Drosophila melanogaster: one gene and its partners. The protein of the gene in region 2 interacts with the protein of the main gene of each other region in a pairwise test. Each region holds a gene or a part of one and is shown on either strand. Other genes may lie near its edges. The genes, in order: Cda5, Hmx, Cerk and Nipsnap.

The links.
Region 1: the proteins of Hmx (region 2) and Cda5 interact in a two-hybrid assay, tested with the Drosophila melanogaster proteins (one large-scale study listed by BioGRID).
Region 3: the proteins of Hmx (region 2) and Cerk interact in a two-hybrid assay, tested with the Drosophila melanogaster proteins (one large-scale study listed by BioGRID).
Region 4: the proteins of Hmx (region 2) and Nipsnap interact in a two-hybrid assay, tested with the Drosophila melanogaster proteins (one large-scale study listed by BioGRID).

What each region holds. Positions count from the first base shown.
Region 1 is NT_033779.5:55,954-60,921, reverse strand, and holds the start of Cda5 (chitin deacetylase-like 5), read left to right. Parts: upstream 1-1,653; 5' UTR 1,654-1,732; exon of another isoform or gene 1,733-1,963; intron 1,964-2,190; exon of another isoform or gene 2,191-2,673; intron 2,674-2,728; exon of another isoform or gene 2,729-2,739; 5' UTR 2,740-2,771; coding exon 2,772-2,841; intron 2,842-4,968.
Region 2 is NT_033777.3:17,556,958-17,562,209, forward strand, and holds the start of Hmx (H6-like-homeobox), read left to right. Parts: upstream 1-1,972; 5' UTR 1,973-2,406; coding exon 2,407-3,236; intron 3,237-5,252. UniProt on the Drosophila melanogaster protein: Transcription factor involved in specification of neuronal cell types.
Region 3 is NT_033777.3:5,364,947-5,369,930, reverse strand, and holds the start of Cerk (ceramide kinase), read left to right. Parts: upstream 1-1,624; 5' UTR 1,625-2,010; intron 2,011-4,984. Other genes in the region: CG31542 (uncharacterized protein), read right to left, coding at 1-276, 336-339.
Region 4 is NC_004354.4:16,069,660-16,075,436, forward strand, and holds Nipsnap (nipsnap), read right to left. Parts: upstream 3,910-5,777; 5' UTR 3,851-3,909; exon of another isoform or gene 3,773-3,850; 5' UTR 3,744-3,772; intron 3,624-3,743; exon of another isoform or gene 3,442-3,623; 5' UTR 3,424-3,441; coding exon 3,368-3,423; intron 2,242-3,367; coding exon 2,062-2,241; intron 1,873-2,061; coding exon 1,579-1,872; intron 1,519-1,578; coding exon 1,376-1,518; intron 1,210-1,375; coding exon 1,061-1,209; 3' UTR 706-1,060; downstream 1-705. Other genes in the region: dpr18 (defective proboscis extension response 18), read left to right, coding at 1-35.

The DNA of each region.
Region 1 (4,968 bases), on a different chromosome or scaffold from region 2:
GCGATATCTTAATGCGTGCTAACTATTGACCATATTTTGACAGGTTTCATATACATAACAGAAGAAATATTTGTTTCAGGAAACGGAGTTATTACGGTTCATTAATGAGTTTGCCAAATCGCCTGTTTTACCAAACGTGGCCAAAGTGTTCTTGGTATACCGATAGAAATTTACAAGGGTTATAATAAAATAAAAAAAAATCTCAAAAACTTTTTAAAAGTGTGCGCGTGGCAGCTTTTGGGGGTTTGTGGGCATTAGAAGGAACGCCGCCAAAGTGTTCTTAGTATAACGATAGCTATGGGCGGTCTGTGGGCGTAAGAGTGGGCGTGGAAAAAATGGATTTGGCAAATGAATATAAATTTACAAGACTGATGAAAATATACAAAAAAATATGCAACAATTTTTCAAAAATGTGGGCGTAGCAGTTTCGGGTTGCTTGAGGTCGTTACAGTGGGTGTGGCAACATGGGACAACAAACTTGCGCTGCGTCCATGTCACTAGAATATGTATGCTGAATCTCAACCTTCTAGCTTTAATAGTTCCTGAGAACTCGACGTTAATACGGACGGACAAGCCTGATCGACTCTGCCAATGGTCTTGATAAAGTATTTGTATATTTTATATGGTCCGAAACGTTTAGTTCAAGATACACTTCGTTACACACTTTTTAATATAGTAACGGAAATAATTAAATAATTTCCTAAACAAAGTCAAAAATATTCAATGCAACAAAACACCTCGCCCTCCATTCACAGAAAAAATCGTGTGAAACACAATCCAGCAAAAATAAATTAATAAATAAAGAATTAGATTAATTCGCATGCCTTGCTCAAACCATCAGCCATCGCCGTTCACCAGAACCCCTTTACTTCAGCTGTTGTTTTACAGCTTTTGCTTGGCTTTGGTTGGCTGCTTTGGCCTAGTTCTTGGTCGTTGCCATGTTTTCAACTCGGTTTTACTTTCAATTCTATGGTTCGAAATTGGCCACTTTACTTTAGACTTTAGAGTAAAGCTATATGTTGGGCATATAAATCGAATTTATCAAGGGCAATTCAGCTGGGTGGTATTAATTCTAAAAGTGATTGAGTGGTCTTCCTTCGATCCCATGCTTGACATGGATTCAAGTCCAAGCCCATGTTGAAGTAGTAAGCATTCTTTAATTTAAGCACCGTAATCCACTATCGAGCGATCCAGAAACCTGCTGCTAAACGAAAATGTAACGAAAAAGGTAACAACATTTCACAATCGCCTTGGTAAATAGTTTCCCAGCCTTCGTTGGCTAGAGGGTGGATATTGTTGTAGTTTCAGAAAACAATAAACAAAGCCCGCTCCCCGCTTGTAGATAGCTTGAAACTGATGGGGAGCTTTGGATGAAATTCTCAGTAAAATGTTGAAATTCACTAAGAATATGGGTCTGGACTACATTTTTCTGATAACTTGTATAACTTGTAAAACGTAGCAAAGCTGCAATGGCGCAAGCGTTAACTTTACTCTTACTTTCAAAAGCTTAAGAGATACAAACGACTCCGCGCGGGTGCAGCAACAACTTGAACAGTCTGTTAATGTAAAGTAACAGTCGGGGCCAAGCGTGGCGCAGACCAAGCTTGGCCCAAAAGCCAGACTTCGAAACTTGGTTGGCTGGCTGCGCTTGCCCAGAGTCTCAAGACACTCGTCCGCACAGTCGCGCTGTATAGTTGTTTCGATTAGGACGTGTGGTTCGCTTAAGCGCACGGTAAGCAGAGACGCTCGAGGGTCACCCGAACTTGTCAGGCGGTCTAAACTGTTTGCAATAAGCCACAATCAATTTTTGGGCTTTCGATTGCTAATTTATTTCGTAAACGCGTCGAAATAAAGTCCACCTCTGACTGGACATTGCAACCAGCCAAAAATTTAACATTTTGTAGAAAGCAGTTTTAACTGCATTTTGCAGTTTAGTCGAAGAGCTCAAGCGTGTGTGTCGGTGGTAAGCTAACTTTGCGTTAAAAAGAAAGTTTACGCTAAATATATATACAAGCTTCGACAAACAAAATAAAAACGTGCAGGTTTTGTTTTATTTTGTTTCGCATTTTCCTCTACGCGCTACAGACTAGTTCATACAGAGTTTTCCAATATGGAGGTGCCCGCGATACCGTACGGGAAATCTAAATCAAACACCGATCTTCGATTTGATCTCTTTGCATTTTTGTCTAGCAATCTTTTCCATGGTAACTACAAAACGAACAGCGGTCATTGCAGTCTCACGTGAAAGAAACTAAAAAACCTAACTAAAAATCGCTTGCCAAAAGCAATGGAGGAAAACTAAGTGTTGTAATCTGTAAACGTGTGTGTTAGCTATGCATCGTCGCGTTGGTTAAAGCCAAACGAAAGCTCGAATAATAGGGGCAGAAACTAAATCTGCTTACAACAATACAAACATGTCCTAACCAAGTGAAGGCACAGCCACAAAGCCGCAGTCGCGGCATAAGCCAGACACACCATTAAGAAAACTGTAACACAAGGCTCAAAAAATCTAAATTGAAAAATTGCGACACTGCCTTCTTAGTTATTTAGCAATTGTTTTCAACAAAACAGAGGTTTTCTCAACGGTAACTGCCTCCGTCATCGGTACGGTGGCTGCTGCTGCTCCCCACTTCCCGCGCTTCCAACCACTATTTTTATCCGAGCTTGCCTATGGTATTTTAAATTCTGTGAACTAACCCCAAAACGAAACTGAACCAACCACATCAAGAAAATTTACAGTTACAGTTACGACGACACGCCATACCTGCAATATGAAGTATTCAACAAGTCGAATAAACATTCTGTGCCTGCTGGGATTGTGCCTACTGCTTTTTAAAACAGGTGAGTAATGCCCACTTCAGTGAAGAACACTCTGCTAGAAATACAAATGGAGGCAAAAACTTAAAAGAGCAAAGGGCTTACACACTTTACCCACTAGTCCTAGAAGAGTTAGCACTTAACCAGATTTTAAGACAACCATGGATAAGTATTCAGTTCATGTATGAACTGAAATCTTTTTTTAAACGTAGATCCGAAAAAGTTTTATTTTTAAGTGAATTGTTTTTACAGTACTATGGATTCTTCTTTTCCTCAATCATATTCGAAACTTCGTGATAGAAATATTATGTTCCGCAAATAAAGCCAAACTTGTTTTGAACACTGTTCCGGCTGCCATGTACGAGCTCGCAATAGTCTAATGTCAAATTCAATCACCGTAGAAGAAGTCAAACCACCAGCTGTTAACCACTTGTGTTGAGCTCTATTGTGGATACTCCGGCTCCGGCTAAACGAGTTTCTTAATATGTCCAAAAATGTATATTTATTTTAATATATATATATATATATATATATTAAGACATTTTACTGCGAAATGTGTTAGGATATATAAAAAGTAAGAGTATTTACATTAGGGTATGTATGGAGGTAAATACATGGTCTGATCAACTGCTCTATTTACCAGCGAACAATAACATAATCAAGCATTTCGACCATAACAAGCCTTACCGTGTCCAACTATTGGTCACTTGGGCTGTCTACTCACCATACTGCTGGGTAATGGTAATGGAATTATGTAAGTTATCAGCCAGCAGCCAACCAAGCAGCTTATGACACAGATATTAATTGCATACAGCTCGCTGACTCGATTGAATAGGTTCACTAAGTGAGTGAGTGTATCGGTGTAACCGAGCAAATTGTGGCTATAATAACTGTTGATAATTTTTAAAACAGTTTGCTTAATTGTTCAGACATTTTTTATGAATGATATATATGCAAAATTTGAGAAAACAAATTGGGAACTACGAAAATTGCTTAGATAACGTGGTAAGGATTAACACTATTAAAATTATAATAACAGCATTAGACGGCTAAATTGTTTTGAGATAGATTTTTTGTATTACCTTTGTGGCCTTATAAAGTGCATATATGTATCTTATTCATAACATATTAGTAAAAACAGCGAACTTGAAATAGCCAAGCCCGGCTGTCCGATCGTCCTCTTTTAAACAATTTATAATCTATCTGCTATACCGATTCGGTCGTTGATACTTAGCAAGAAATATATATACCATATATGGGCACAATTGTGTCCTTCACAGCTTTGAAATTTCTGACTTAAGTGAATGTACCCTCCGCAAGGGTATGAAGACTTGCATGACTTGGTTTAGGCATAGTGGCAACACTTTCCATTTTGATGAACTTTCTCAGTGTTTTGAGTGGTGTTTTTTTAAGCCACAGAAATATATATTTGGGTAAAACCTTAGATATGCCGCCATGGAAATATTTTCATGCGTAATTGCTAGGAAATTTGTGTTAAAACATTTGATGTACTACTGGTTTAATGCGAATGTCGATGGCTGAAAGAAAAAGGTTTGAGGCGGACGAGGCCAATGGCGAAAGTTGAACATTTGCAAGAACATTTGTTTAAGCGCGTGTTTAATGAATAGTATAACAAAGGGGTTTTAATCATAATTCAGTTTCAATGCCAGTTAAACCATTAGTATGGTGGTCACGCCTCGACCTAATCATTTCGTCTCTTTTTTACCGCAGGCAGTGTCAATGCTTACCGTGCGAAAGTTTTGGCGCACGCGGAAGATCGTCATTAAATTACTTCGCTAGGTCTTTGACTGTAACCTGAACACTTTATACGAGCATGTACGACCATTGGCATGGCGCAACTTTGTTTTGCATGCACACAGTGCACTTTCGCTTTCAAGCAGTATTCCAGCGAGTCTGAGGCAAGCTTGAATAAATTTGCACACAGCAATGGTAATCCCTGGATTTCGCAAGGCTCCAGATAATTTGCGTTGAATTGGACGTCGAAATTGTTGTCGGCACAGTACGAGGAGTACCAATAGACTACCAAACGGCAACACCCAACTTTTCTTAGCTTCTGCGCCTGCCCTTACAAGCTTGTTGTTTACGGCGCTACTCACCTTGAAATGCTTACGCATTACAGTTGAAAATTAT
Region 2 (5,252 bases):
AATCCGAGTTGAAATTTCCTCGAGAACAGAGCGAAACACAAATGAAATCATCTGAAGGTGCTGAGTGAACGCAATTTCCATTTGTGAATTGAGATTGAAATGGAAATGGGGCACCACCTAAGTGTCACTATTTCTGAAACCGTCGAGGTGGCCGGAATTCTTCCAATTCCCCACTCCATTGTTTCCCGGAAAAGCCCCGTCCCCCATTGGATTTATTTTTTATACACCCCCAATCCCACTCTAAAGTCTTACACGAAAACGAATCAAAAACAAGCAATGCACAGAGGGAAATTACGGAAAAATGTGTTACGGACGCAGGTGATGGCTCCGTCAACACACACACACACACACATGCACAGCTCCTCCAAGGGGAAATGGGAGGTGGTGGGTGGCAGATGGGGGTGCTGGGCGGGTGCAAGGGTGGCGCCTTGCCCTCAGCACGTGGAGACGCACTTTGGCAAAAGCAATCTTCTAAACAGGATAAATGTAATTGCGCATGAATTTCTACGCATATTTCGGCGTCGCTGTCTGAGCTGCAAATGTTTGTTACCCATTTGTTTGGTTGTGTTTTTTATGCTCGCTTTTCCCGTCGCTGAAAAGCGTTCTCCGACATTTCGAGGAGCTGTCACCCCATTGGCCCTCCACTGGCCACGCCCCCAAAGAGAGTGCTCTCTCCGGTCTCGCCGTCTCTCTCTTTCGACGGGTAATTGACTCGCATAATGTTTGTTTTGTTTTGAGCAAATCGTTTGCAACACTCTTTGAATGCCTCGTGGTTGTCTCATAAAAAGCGAAAGCATTTAAAAATTCAATTTGCCCTCTCTCTCATTCTCTCTCTCTCTAACTTTTTCTTGCTCTCACCCGCTCTTTTTCTGCAAAGTTTGCAGAGCTCCTTCGCAAAAATGGCCGCCTGTTCGCTTTTTGGGGGAGGTTTTCTCTTTGGGGAACGGAACGCTGTGGAATGAAACATGCTATAAGGTAGAAAGCTCAGAGATTCCAAATAAAAGAAGAAACGGGAATGCATTACAATGACATGAACGATACTAAATATAACTTAATACGTTGGGAAATTGCTTACATATTTTTAATTATTTAAATATAATTGTTGAAAATCTTTCACTTAATTTCTTAAGGATACCTTCTATCCTCGTATTTTTGATAATATCGTTTTTGATTAACGTTGTTCTTCACCATTTCGTTATCAAACATAATAAATACATTTGATATTTTATACATTTGATAACACCCACAAAACCTCTTTTACTTTTCTTTGCATAATTTATAAGTTGCTTGTTTATTTCTTTCGATATTTTAGCAATTCAATGATTTATCTATATCACCGAACCCCATTTGTTGAAACTTTCACCGCTCAATCTGCTAACCGCAAGGTTGCAATCGACTGGTGCATTTTCGGCACACACTTTTCTGGTCGAAAAAGTTTGCATCTGGCTGGCTGGGAAATTTCAATGGCGCCACAGAGCAACACTTGACCCCTGTTAGGTGGCAATTGATTGATTTTATATTGGCATTTCAATAGACACCAGCCGAGCGAAGCGATTCGAGTCGAGCCGAGTGCGCCCCCACTTTAGACGCGTTCCAAATGCCAAGTGTTTCCCATTCGGGGGGTAGGAAAACCAAAGCGCACTCCACCAGCACCGCAGAGAAAAAATAGTAAAGGAGGAAAATGCGAAAAGTGTCTGTCGATGCGGTTGCAGTGCAATTGTCGAAATAAACGAAAAGAAATTCCGAACTGCAAATGGAATGAAAAAGAGCGGCAGAAGGGGTGGGCCACCAGGCGGTGAAAGAGAGGGACAGCGAGAGCGATAGAGAGAGAGTGGGACACACCCTCCCAGGAGGGGTAGCAAATACGCAAGTGTGTGTGTGAGTGCGGAAAACCATTTAGCGCAAAGACCAAAAGAATTTGCAGGGCTGCCAGCCAACCACCTCAGTCTCAGTTTCAGTTCCACGCTCTCCGGACACGAGACCGGGGGTTAAAAATCCAGAGACTGAAACAATAAAAACACTAAACGATCGCTTTGCCACACACAAACACAAGCACACACACACACGCAGACACACACAAGCACTCGCATACATACAGAGACAGAAAGGACGAAGGACTCAGAACACAGAACTCAGGACTGCGTCTGTTAACAGCCGCATTTAAATTCAAATGCGAAACGTTGATCAAACGGTGCAGACGTGTTTCTCCCAACGGTAGCGCTCGGCGTTTTCCCTTAACGAGTTTTTCGTGGCACGACTGAAGTGTACAAGGTTTGGAAAATTCTTTATTTTCCTAACAAATATATATAAAACAAAAAAAAAAAAACACACACACAAGTGCAAGTTGAAGAACAAAAGTGCTGAATTAAACGTTTAAACTGCAAATCTAAGCAAAAATCTCAAGCTATGTCTTCCTCCGAGGCCGAAGTTGACATCAGTGTGGTGTCCAGTCCGGAGCCGAGTCCTTTGGGCGCCGCTGCCCGCGACAGTCCGCTGCTGGCCCGCTCGCCGGCCCGTTCCGCCGACGGCAGTTCGCCCCCGGCCACGCCTACCCATCGCTCCAATACGCCCAACACGGCCGCCGGCACGCCCACAACGTCCGCCTCGGGCGGCAATCACTTCCATCACAGTCCCAGCGGAGGCGCTGTGCCGCCGGCGGTGTTGCACCATCATCTGCAGCACCATCTGAGCAGCCTGGGCAGCCATCCGGTGGCGCTGCATCACGCGCTCCACACCTTTGGCCACTTGCATCCCGCCCACGGGGCCACACATCCCGCCCTGCTGCAGCACGCACTCACGCCCACCGGCCAGCAGCAGCAGCAACAGTTGCAGGTGCAGCAGCAACACCAGCAGTCGCATGTCGAGCGCCTTAGTCCGCCAATGAAGAGTCCGGAGCGGAATGGCGGCGATGAGGTGCAAGGACACAGTCTGAACAACAACAACAGTAAGGCCCTCAATCACAACAACACTTGCGCCTCGGCGGCCGCAGCGGCGGCAGCAGCAGCGGTGGCAGCGGCCAACCTGAGCAACAACAGCAACGACAGCAACGGGAGCAGCGGGGGCGGCGGCGGCAAGAGCACCACCGGCTCCAACGGATTCACCAGCTTCTCCATCTCCAGCATCCTGAGTCGCAGTGAGCCGGCCAAGAAGAACGGCGCCGCCGGACTTATCACTCCGATCCCGCAGTTGCCGCAACCAGGAGCCGGCGGTCCACAGGATGCGGCCATGTTGTCCAGGTAATTAAAAAACATTCCAGACTTGCTCTAGTCAAAAATAGCCCTCCCATTTCAAATGTGATTAATCTTGTAAATATGAAGTCGCCAAATTTAAAAATCTTAGTGTCAACATTTTACTTCAATTCATTTTAACAATTTAATCTGCAAAAATTTAGTCCATCCATCTGTCATATATAATTAGTTACTTCTGACGATATTCAGCTATTCCGCCTAATTTTGATCCGCAAGATATTTTAAAAAAATACAAACTCGAACTAAAATTTCATTCAAATTTTAACCCTATAATTACTGAAATTAAATGAGTATAATTTCATATGCCCAAGGATTTCCCATTGAATACCTTTTTTTGTAATAATAAAAATCACTCGTCTTAAGTACCATACCCATTTATTGCTCAGTGTAGGCGACCCAGATTAGGACGTTCGCCGGCGAACTGAAACCAAAAAGTCAAGCCTTGCCTCAATGAGCCCAAAACCCAAAGAGGCTGCCATTCCACTTGTTCGCCCTCGGGTTGGGCCAATTTTGTATAATCGTCCTAGGGGAAGACAAGGCAAGGTGACACAAATCTCTTCGCAGGAAGTGCACAAAGAGGAGAAATGGGATGGAGACGGACTGAGATGGTAGCCGGGAGATGGTCGATAAGACCGAAAATTGTTGGGCAAACGTTACACGAGACATTAAGTGGGTGAAGATGCAAATGGCTAAAGTACCATGCCATTGTGCTCCGAGAATCTAACGATTCCAAATTCCAGATGCCAGACAGATAAAGCAAATCCAATGGAACCGTTTTTAGTTGCACTGGACGCTAGCTGACCTCGAATATATGCAGAAAAGGTCTAAACCATTTTTGCCCTGCAATTTGGCCAGACTATCGAGTTACATAACATTTGTTAGATGAAATTTAATGCACCGCTTCGGGAATGAATGTAACCGACTGTCCGGCTGATTGACGGACTGACAATGCTCCAGTATCGTATGCAAAACGTGGTCCTTTCGAATGAATGAACCCTCAGTCCCTCCAAGCTGACCCACAAAAACTGGTACGTTTCTACAGCTGTTTGTTGTGCGAATGCAACTTATTGATACACAATGTGCACTGGAAATAAACAAGTCCGAGCTAATATTAACGGATTTTGTAAAATTTAATTGTGAAAAATAGCACTCGAAAAATGTACACCTACATAAATCTATATTTATTTAGGTACTATTCATTAAAGAGCTTATTTCTCTTGCAACATATTCCATTGATTCAATTTAAATTTGTCTCAGTGCAAATGCGTTTTTTATTCATTTCATTCATATCATAAACGCTGGCATATTAACCCCACTTAGCCGGCTTTTTGAGTCAGCGATCGAATTTCCAGGCAGCTCGATTAACGCATGTGTTGAATTAAAAAAAAAAAAAAACAACCAAGAGAATTTATAAGTTGCACTTTTATTTTACGAGAGAATGGGAGGGGGACTCCCCCAGACGTTTTAGTCCTCGAACTTTTTAATAACGATCATTTTCATTTCATTTACGCGTGCCCGCGTCGCTGATCGTCTCGATAAGGAAAGTCGGGCTGGTGGGCAGGTTCTGTGGCCGAGGGTCGCTACTGTCCCAGTCAACTGGACTGTGGCCCGTGCGTGGTTACCCCAATTAAGGACCTCGTCCTGGACAAAGTGTCGCCTCCTGCTGTTTGGCGCTAGCCCAGCTGACGTGTGGCTGCCTATGTGACTGGCTTATCAGTTGATCATCATCGGCCAGAATGATTAATGCCGGGGGGATATGAATACGAGTATGAGCACAGCAACATTGCTGAGTGATCGTTTAATAGTTTGAGCCGACTTTCTCCCGGCGGAGCTCGGCTTATTTTGACAGTTGCGCTTACGTTTTTAATTAGTCGCTGGGCTTTCTCTGCAGCCTGTACTTAATTACGATTCAGTTGGGCGAGCGAGCGGGGGATTCGAAAAAGTTGCGCAGCCAGATAGCAGGAAAAAACCATTGAAGAGGTGTAACCCGATATGCTTGTGAGT
Region 3 (4,984 bases), about 12 Mb from region 2:
GTGGCCGGCTACGGTTCTGAGTGCACGTGCACTCCACGGTGGGGGCTCCCCGGCTCTGGTAGAGGCTGCATGCGGCGGGATCGCCCGGCGGCTGCGTCGAGTTGACCTGGCACCCGCCTGCTCCCTGGCCCCGCGGACCCGGATAGGGACAGCTGTCCGGCTGCTGCTGCGGCTGGTGGGCGTACGAGGGGGGTGGCCTGTGGGGCGGCTGCTGGGGGGGTGGGGCTCCGCCGCTGGTGCCGCAGGGACAGTTGTTGCACTTGCCACACGGAGACGCTGCTGGCGGAAGGATTAGCGCGCTGCGGGTGGCGGTCTACAGTCCATTTGATACTCACACATTTTCCGAAAGTTAGGGCTTAGGTGTAATTAATTGTCCCTACAGGCTGTCCTACAAGCTGGTAAATCAAAACTGACAATTCCGGATCGAGATCTCTAATCGGGTTTTGTATACCCTGCGTTCTTTGCATTCATTTACGCTTTAAAAAGTTTGTATGACCAAATATATCTATAAATTAACAGTTTGAAAATAATTATCAATAGCACTCCATTAGATTACTTATAAACTTATGGACTCCACTGGTTTAGTTAAGCCCAATTAATGTTTAAATTTCTGCAGTTTTATTTGGAATTAACAAAAAAAAAAAAAAAAAAAAGTATAGTCGTATGTCCTATTACCAAATAATAAAAAGAGAAAGCTGAAATCATGAGAACGCTTTGGTCGAATGCCCGAACTATTGCTTATCCTAAGTTTTGCCTACTTTTCTTATAATTCAATTTACCTTACACTCTTCGAGTAACGAAAATAACAAAAGCGAACACGAAATTAGGATGACCAGGCTATCAGATACCTAGTATCAGATGTCTCTTAAAACTATTTTAAAATTAAATGTACGAAAGTAATATTCTACTAAAGTGCAACCTATTGAAATAGATTCCAGCGGAAATCCCGAGGAATTTCGAAATTAAATGCAGGAGAATTCCTTGATAATTTATGTATAATGTATGTACGCGTAACAATCACTTCGCCAATCGGATTTAAACAAAAGTGAAAAAAATTGATTATAAAATAATTCTTAACATTTTAAATTTATTTTTTCCTTTTTTGGTTCCTGGATGAATATCTTATCCGTGAGTCTAGGAGTATGACCTTGAGCAGTTGTTGTGTCTTCTGCAAATTGACAAAATGGCTATATTGGCCACCAACCAATTTTGAACCCGACTGAACTCATAGCTGAACTACTTTACCTGGAAGAAGTCCGGAGTCCCCACATCGACACAAGGACCAACCGTAACCCGCTGGAGACTCCCGCCCAACACGGTGTCATTGGTGACCGTTGAGCAATTGCTGCAAGCTGCGCAGCTAATGTTGTTGGTTATCTGGCGGCTGCAGTAGAGTTTTGGGATGATGTGGATGCTGGGATGAGTGATTTGATCCTGGGGAGTAGTGTATTAGTAGTGTAGTATTTAATGGTGAGAAAACTTAAAAAAAAATATCGGGCACAGTTATTTTTGGGTGAAGATGCCGTTAATTTTAAGGTAGCCCTAGTTCTCGCCAGACTTGAGAATACCCCAGACCAAACTATGTGGTATTTCAATCAAGTCAGGTGGTCTGCCTCGTATTTTCCACAGTTATATGTACGGTCACACTGGCGAGCGGACGTACACTTCGCTTCGATTTGTCCGCCTGTGTTTTTTGTAACGGCCACGGAAGTGCATTTCTGGTGTTCTCGTAAATTCTTTGTGCTCCAGCGAGTAGGGGGTGGAAAGTGTGGCTAAAACGGGAAACCGGGAGATGCCGAAACGCCATTAGCACCAATTGCACGTCGGCTATTTTCCAATTGTGTGTGTGCATTTGTTTGTGTGCAAGCGAAAAAGTGCAAGTGTGCGAAACTGCAATGCACATCCGTATCGAGTTTTCTTGATTTCCCCATAAACAGACGGAAAAACAGCGCAACGACTTCGAAAGTGCAGCCGTGTTTGTATGGATAAACGTTCCTACCTGGCCACCAGGTGAGTTCCCCAACCAGTTCACACTGGCACTCCAATTGGAAGAACGGACTAGGATCGAGAATAAGTAGGTACACGAGCACCCAAGTTGGAATTAAACGCAGAGAACTCAAGCCAGACGCACATACCCCCACACGCACGCACACACCCTTACGCCTGTATACACACATGTTCTTGTCAACAGCTGAGTTGTTGGTGCTACACAGCTGTATTGCGTTGCGATAACGGCACCCGGAGTATGGAAATGACAGCTGTCCCTGTCTGCACCACCCCACCCCCCCCCCCCTCCCAGGGTGCTATACCCTTCTGACGCACTGCGGCTAGAGCAAGCGAACCGGGACCCTTCGGTGTATATGTGCACTGTTATTGTTTTGGTGGTGCAAAGTATCGATGTCGATGCTGCGATACTTATTCCTTGGGAAAGAAATGTCTACTTCTATGGGTTAAATTGGATTTCAGGGACCTTAATTAATAATAATTTAATGACCTGCCAAGCATAGATTGCAAGTAAATAGCAACTAAAAAATAAGTATCTACTTTGTTTTCATTTTTACTCATATACTAATAGTTTATTTTAACATAACAATGTATTCTGGGAATTGGCAGAAAACCTATTCGTGTACCTATTTCCTTTGATCTTAGCAGACCATCTGCGCTATAGCACTGAATAATGACCCCTCACGTGTCAAAGGGAACTTGCCCCAAGTTATTTATAATATTTTGTAGCTTTGCTTTTGCTATTTTGGCTGTGAGGTGCGTGCACCGTCGAAAAGGTCAGACATGGGCTGATGTCTGGCAGCTATAAAGCGGGTCAAGATTGAATAACGCTCAAAAGGGTGAAACGAGATAAATGGTGGAGGGGTTGACGATTCTAATAATGTCAGTAGTTCTGGAGTTTAAGATTGACGTATTTGTTTGTATTTCGTACATATCTACAGCTGTGTTCAGAAAATAGCAGTGCGAAGGAAACTAAGTAATACAAAGGTATTTTTCCATGTCCTTTTTCGGAATCGACTTTTTATTCCACTTATTTTTGTTAAATTGAATGTGTAGATAGGAAAAAAAAAGAAAAGCCGGTTAGTTTTTCTTGTTATCCTTTTTTTATTTACATTCTTGAGCAAAATCGCAATTTTTAGGCTGTTCATAAGAATAGCAGTGCCTGGTTTTGACCAACGTAAAGTTCCGAAATGATCATTATTTTCTAAAAAGTGAGTTTGGTTAAGTTAATTCGTATATTTAAAAGGGCAAAAAATTAAAAAAAAAATTTTAAATTATATTTTAGTGGGTGGAGGACAGCACTGCTCCCAGGAGAAAAGAATGTTAATTCTTAAGCTTAGAAAGGAAGGAAAAGCATTAAGGACATTCAAAAAACTCTTGAATGTGCTGCCAAAATGGTATCCAATACCATTAAATATGAATGGAAGCCCGAAAACCGTGGTACCAAACGTAAAACCACAGAGATAGAGGATCGACGCACAGTTCGTTAGAGCAAAGCCTATCCTTTTGCATCCTCTAGGGACATAAAGTCTGAGCTGAACTTGGGAATCAGTGACGTTAAAATTTCAGTGCGAGGAGTCCACGAAAGGTTCCCCCACTTAGCCCAAGGCTTATTCAGGCAAGGTTTACCTTCGCTAAAACCTACCGAAACTGGCCAGTCTGCAAATGGCGTAATATCCTTTAGACTGATCGGTCAAAAATAGTGCTATTTGGTGGAAGTGGTTCACTACAGTATATCTAACGACCTCCAAACACGGAGTACCACCCAAAACACCCACTGAAGACTTTCAATCACGGTGGACCTAAAATCCTGGTATGGGCTTGTTTTTTTACAATGGTTATGAGTCCATAACATATGATTTATGGTATTATAGACCAAAACGCATATGTAAATATACTTAGTGATGTCTTATTGTCATATTCTGAATATAATATGCCCTTAAAATGGACATTCCAACAGGATAATGATCCGAAACGCAGATGCAAATCGGCTAAGAATAGGTTCACCCAAAATGGAATAGATGCAATGCCGTGGTAAGCACCATCTTCCGATTTAAGCCCGATTGAAAACCTGTAGGGGGACATTAAACAATATGTGTGGAAGAAGTCCCCGACGTCTAAGGCTCAGATTTGGCAAGTTGTGCAGGATGCATGGGCAAAAATTCCTCCCAAACGTTGCCAGGACCTGGTGGACTCCATGCCGCGTGGGTGTAAGGCTGTGCTGGCTAACAAAGGCTATCCAGCCAAGTATTAGGCCCGAATTAACATATTAAAAAGAAAGACTAAGTTCGTTCTAAGTCAAGTTGAATTTTGTTACTATTTTTTCATAGCACTGCTATTTCATTGAAAACCAGAATTTCTGCCTATTATGTTGTTTTAATCTATATTTTCGAAACTATTAAAGAAATAAAAGCGAAACATTTGTTAAATTGTTTGAAATTAAATACCTAATGATATTATAAAAAAAAATTTCCCATTAAAACTGTAAATCATAAGAATTTTTTATCTTAAACACTCAAGTCCAAAGCACTGCTATTTTTCTTAACACAGCTGTACATATATCTAGAGCATTTCCCCTCCATGTCATTCGAACTTTTTGTGTGGTTATCAATTTACCCGCTAGTTTACATTTCCGCAATGTGTCTGTCTTTTCCTTCTTCACATCGACCTACATGTACTAGACTTTTTCGCTTTGTTAAATAATTACTGCTGTCATGTGCTTCTTAGATGTTGGCGTGAGTCAACGAGCTCAAAGTTAAAAGAAATCGGACACAGTTCTATTAGTTCTGTTTATGGTACAGGCATTTAAATTATAAACAACTCGGTCTATAGATAAACGAAAGTATTGATTAGGCCTTCAGAGCTCTGATATACATATGTACGTAAAATCCGGCCCACTAACTCCCACGTTGCAAGTTAACCGAGACTTGATGTCATCAATCTTATCGAACCTTGTATAGCACATAGCATGTATATTGTA
Region 4 (5,777 bases), on a different chromosome or scaffold from region 2:
TCACTTGCCTGAAAACCGAAAATCGACATTTCTGAGGCTTTAATCTGAGAAGGGACTGCGGAAAACCCCATAGCCATTCGATTTTCACAAACAATTAACCAATAATATTAGGTATAAACGAGATTGGCTGGTTCTAAACAACGGTTTTAGTTTTAAAGTTGAGAATCAGAAGGTGATTTCATTACATATTTTTGTTATAGTGCCTACGGTGTATAAGACTTTAAATTTGTTTGGACAAATATTCTTAAAAATTTGTTTAGAATTGAATTAATTAGGCAAAAAGATGACATAATAACAATTCCAGATTCCTAAGAGCCAAAAACCCAATGGTTTAAAAAAAAAAGTTTCTCGAACTTTTTTTCTAGTTAATTTAGTGATGATGTTGAAATATCGCACACATGTTATATGATGCCTCTTAAAGAGTTAAGAAACTGGCGGGGATAGCAAAATATTTCGTTTAATTTTCTGTGACTTTTAAAAGTTCATAGAATATGTGCATTAATTAAGTTTGAGCAACTAAGCAGGCAAATCAAATGTATCATACGTTATTATTATGTTATACCACTAATTCACAGGATAACAAGTTTTTTCAAGAAAACAACGATCTGATTAAAACTTTATGCGGTATACTACTTTTTCATCACCTATTATTTTGCTGTTTGTAATTACGGAATTGGGTGGTTCTGCATTTTATTAGAGATGTTTCAATTAATATCCAATACCATTTACTATATTTTGGGATCTGTTTTAAAAACTAACTTATAACAGTTTCATAATTGCTTTATTTTATAAAAACAAAATTGGTTTTGTTAAATTCAAAGGTCGTAGGCGATACACACATAGAGGTTCGTAAAAATGTTGGATAGAAATTTCCACTTTGACCTTAATTATACTTAAAAAAAAAATTAAATGATTGCATATGTAGCTGGCATTATTTACAATAACTATTCAACAGGAAAATAGGCGAAGATGCGTTCTCGGTGTTTTCACAGCTAATTTGTCCAATCGTCGATGAACTTCAATTTCTCAGAACGCTAGAAAGTGCAACACCCAGTGCTAATTATTGTGAGGGCGAGAACTCAGTGGGCGCCAGGACACGGCAGTGCATCTCGCGGATTAATGGCACCGTGTAGGCCACACACTCATCCCATCCGGGGGATCGCCAGGCTGCTTCCCGGGTCTCCTTACGGTCTTGCAGAGATTTGTAACCTATTTTGAAAAGAAGAGCAAATATTAATGTTTGCTTTACAGCTTATATAAAAATATGGCTTCAAAAATTGCTAGTGGCTTAAAATATCCTTTAAACCATTCTAAACGTATTTGGCAATGAAACTCAAATTACTCAAATCTTTTAATTATACTATCTATCACTTACACCAAATGTGATGAACATTGTACAGTCTTCCGATCTGCGAGAAGAATCCGGCGAATGCTTCGTTGTTGTGCTTGCGATAGTTGATGGCGCGGGCCCAGTTGTTTCCCCACTCAATCATGGTGCCAGGTGTCAGTCGGTATGAGCTGAGACAATTGGGTTAATTTAGCTATGCATTTTTGAATTGAAAATACTCTGCAACATACCGCATTTCGTAAATGTTCTTGCCGGTACGACTGGCAATTTGCGGCCAGTAGCTGAATGCCAAGAGATATTGCAGATGACGGGAGCGCAAGAACTTGGAACGCTCCTGCATCAAGCTAAGATACTCGGGATCGTTCCAAAGGTCTTCTTTGGCCTGATCTATCTTCTCGAAGCCTCCTGTGTACTTCCACAGGTGCAGGCACTGATCCATGTCGCCCACTTGAACCGTCCATGATGCCACCAATTCGCAGGAAAGGTTTGCCTTCTTCTCGTTGATCAAAGCGACAGTAGTTTTGCTGTAAAAGGTAAGGGTACTTTTAACAATCTATGCTACTTTCGGGATTTAAAACCACCCGGAAATGTGTTTGAAAGTATGCTATCGAAAATGGACAACGCTTTCAATGTTTATTCTTTAGCTTTGAGTACTCTGCACCTATTTAGTTCTTTTAGGCACCTTTTAAGGACGTTAAATTTCAGTCACTTACTAGTTATTTAAGTAGCTGCCCATGGAATCGGGCCTGACGTTGTGGGTATGAAGGGCATATATGATTTCCTTATCGCTGAGCATTCGACTGTGCGACTCCTTGGTTGGTTCTATTTTCCGAACGAGCAGTTTTGAGAACCATGATTCTGAATCGTTGCGGCTCGGAGTGGTGGACAGAGAGCTAAAAGTATCAATAATGGGTAATTTAAAAAGGTTGGCATAATAAACAATTACAAAATAAACTTACAATATCTTAATTGTATTCTGTATAAGGTAAGATATATTGGTAATACCTAAAAATACATTTTTAAATGATATGTTCTAAGTCCAAACTCTCTAGATAACGTTTTTAATAAGTCTATCTTTCAGATCGAAGATATAATATTCAATTTTTGGAAGGCCACTTATCAATATTAGCTATAAGTAGGCCAATTGAATTGGACCGTGGGCAAAAAATAGATAAATAAGGAGAACGCTATTTCCTTTACACTGAACTTACAAATTAAGAAAAGCTACCCCTGCGTATTATTAACTTTTTCGAATTTTCCAGGGGCAAATGTATTCATAACTTAAAAATACAAAATGCATATATAGTACGGCATTTCATACATGAAGGGTAACTAAAATTCGCACCGTCGTGTTTATTTTGTTTTTGTATACGTTTTTGCTTTGCTGACGTCGCAACGGCATTTTCATTTATGTATGGATGTATACGTACGAAATTGGAACCAAACATACATATTAACGTGTAGGAGTGTGAATGCTAGTGCTGGAAAGGGTACGCGATTTGTGTACCTACAAGGACGGTACCTGGTAGGTACTCTTAATGCTAAGTATGACGGCTTGGAAAATGAGTAAGCAACAACTACTCTGCGTAAATTTAATAACATGAGTTTAGGGAATTCGTGAATAATATATTTAATCTAAAAGACTTAAAATGACTAGTAGTTGAAAAACATAATGTTAATAAAAATGAACCCCTAGGCTGGAGGAAAATTGAATATGAATACCATTAAATATCATTATTTTAAGATCCTTATAAATACTGTTATTTATATATAAATAAGTAAGAATTAAGAATTAATTTTGTTATTTCAATCTAAAAAATTTGAATATACGAGTATATATTCATTGCCTATATTTCATTTGGATTCCACGAATCTGGGCAATTAATAAGTGCCACAAGCTGATATCCAGGTACAGGTACCTGTGCCTACTCGGCAACACTGATCAAATATGTAAATGGACTCAGCTGTGGGCAATTTTTGTGTTCATTTTTTATAGTATATTCATGTTGTTTTTCTTACCGGACAGCGTTGTTGTTGCTTTTGCCGACGGCCAATAGATTACGTAGCTTAAGCATTTTCGATTTATGTAGGATCTGGCGAGTATATATGTATATAGAGCGATATGGGGTGAAAACTGGAAAATAAAATCAGTAACTGTTATCATCCCGATTCGCCATCTCTACCACTGCAATGTGTGTACATTATGTGTACTTTAGTCAAGGTGAAGTCAGAGTCATTTTAACAAGTGCGCCGGTACATGGTCTATGGTAGCATTGATAATAGAGAATGTAGAGCGTTCTCTCGTTTCAACTCTGTCCGATTTCCCCACCCGCTTTAAATTCAGCAATTATTTTGGAAAAATAATAAATGTTTCTCTTTCCACACTAGCACTCACTTTATAGTTATTTGCGGGAGTGTTACAAACTAAAATAATATTTAAATGAAATGTTAACGTTAAAAGAAAACAAAATAATATGCAGTAGAGCTGTCTTAACCACTGACCGATTGTATCGATATATCGCGTCCATGCGCTTGGCTATCGATATGGACCTAAGAGTTAACAAAGTAGTCGTCTTTTCGATTGCATGCTATAGCGATAAGGTGTTTTAGTTTTTTGCGGTCACTCTGAATTAATTACGTTACATTTCAAATTTGTTTAAAAGCTGACTTTGAAATTCATAGTTTTTAAAGCGAAAATGGGTCATTTTGTTAATCTAGGACCACTCTTCTTCTTGGCCGCTCTCATGCTCAAGTCCGATCTGAAAGCTCCTATCCTCGTTCAGTTCGTTTTCTTCCTTCGCGAGCATCGGTAATAGAAAAAATGGCGGTTCGGCGTGCCAAAATGAATTAAATCAGTTTTAATGTTTTTCGGTATTAAAAAGTACTGAAAGTTTGTTAAAATGATAATCAATGAGTGATCGCACACTGCTAAACGCATTTTAACTCATTACTTTTCTTTAAACGATTTAATTATGTGATTTACACGCACACGCGTTTGTGCCGAGAAGTACATATGTACATACTTATGTGTGTGTGTGTAAGTAAGCAGCTCGGCTTGATCTGCTTTTTAAATTTGAGCGCGGTTATATAGTTCACGCACACACGTTTCCGCGGAGAAGTACATACATATGTGTGTGTGCGTAAGTGAGCATATCGGTTTGATTTGTGTTTTAAATTTGAGCGCGGTTATATAGAGTTCATATTTATAATGCTTGCTTATTTATTAAAACCCGACAACCACTTTTGTATGCTTAATACTTTTTGCGAATATATATATAAAATGTATTGCTATAAATTTCAAAATGAAATACACCTGAAAAGTGGACCAAAAAAAGAAAATGGCGAAAACGAACATTTTTGTTCTGCTTTACTTCTCCGCCCGTTTGCTTTAAATTCCATTTCGTTTTCTACCTTCGCCGGTGATTAAAACGGTTACATTTTGTGTTTTTATACACTCGGGCGTACATTAATACATACCTGAGTTAAAAGTGAAATTAAAAATAGCATTTCTCAATATATCGGCCAAAGGAAGGAAATATAATTAAATAATTTATTTGAGCAAGAAGCTAAAAAGTGTACATAATCATAAAGCGGTGGTAAGTAAAAGTTATTTTTATTTCAATTCATACCTGTTAATTTACGATTCCTGAAATCTAAATATATTACGTATACGTAAACGGGGATAAAAAAGTAATCCAAATCTAGAAACGATTTCAATAATTTAAAATCACGACGAGTACGCGGTGAAAATCAAAATCCGTGCCTAGGAAGGGTAAAATGTATTAATTTATTTATTTACATAGGTAAGGTAAAAAGTACTCAACTAATTTACCTTGGTACGTACCCGTAGGTACCGTTTTTGAGCTTTTATTTTGCCGTGAGTACTAATCTTGTAAAAGGACATCTGTTCTCAGAATACTGAATAAGTATGCAACAGTGCGGAGAAAACATCAAACTCTTTTTTTGCATTTTTTTTTTTTTTGCTTTTTGTTAACAATATCCAATTGTTTAAGTCGGTGATCGAAGCAGATCACTGTTTTTTTTTTATAAACAATGCGTTTTAATTATACGATAATCTTTATTCTACTAAAGGTAATACGAAAAATACTCATATGGAAGTTATATTTGTTACTATACATAGTACATACATTTTATATTATTAACCTCTATGTTTATTTTCACACACGTAAGGGGTTTTAAATTGATTGAATAGTTCGGTACTAAGAATAGATATACATACACGATTATTGTGTGCTAATGAGGTCACACATATACATTATTTTGTTATTGTTTTGCATGTATGTACATCGTTATTGTAATCACTGATATGCATTAATTTAATTACTTTCTCTTTCGGATTTTTCTGTTCAACGAAAGCCATATATGTACATACATATATCAATCGGTACCAAAATCTATTCGAGTTGAA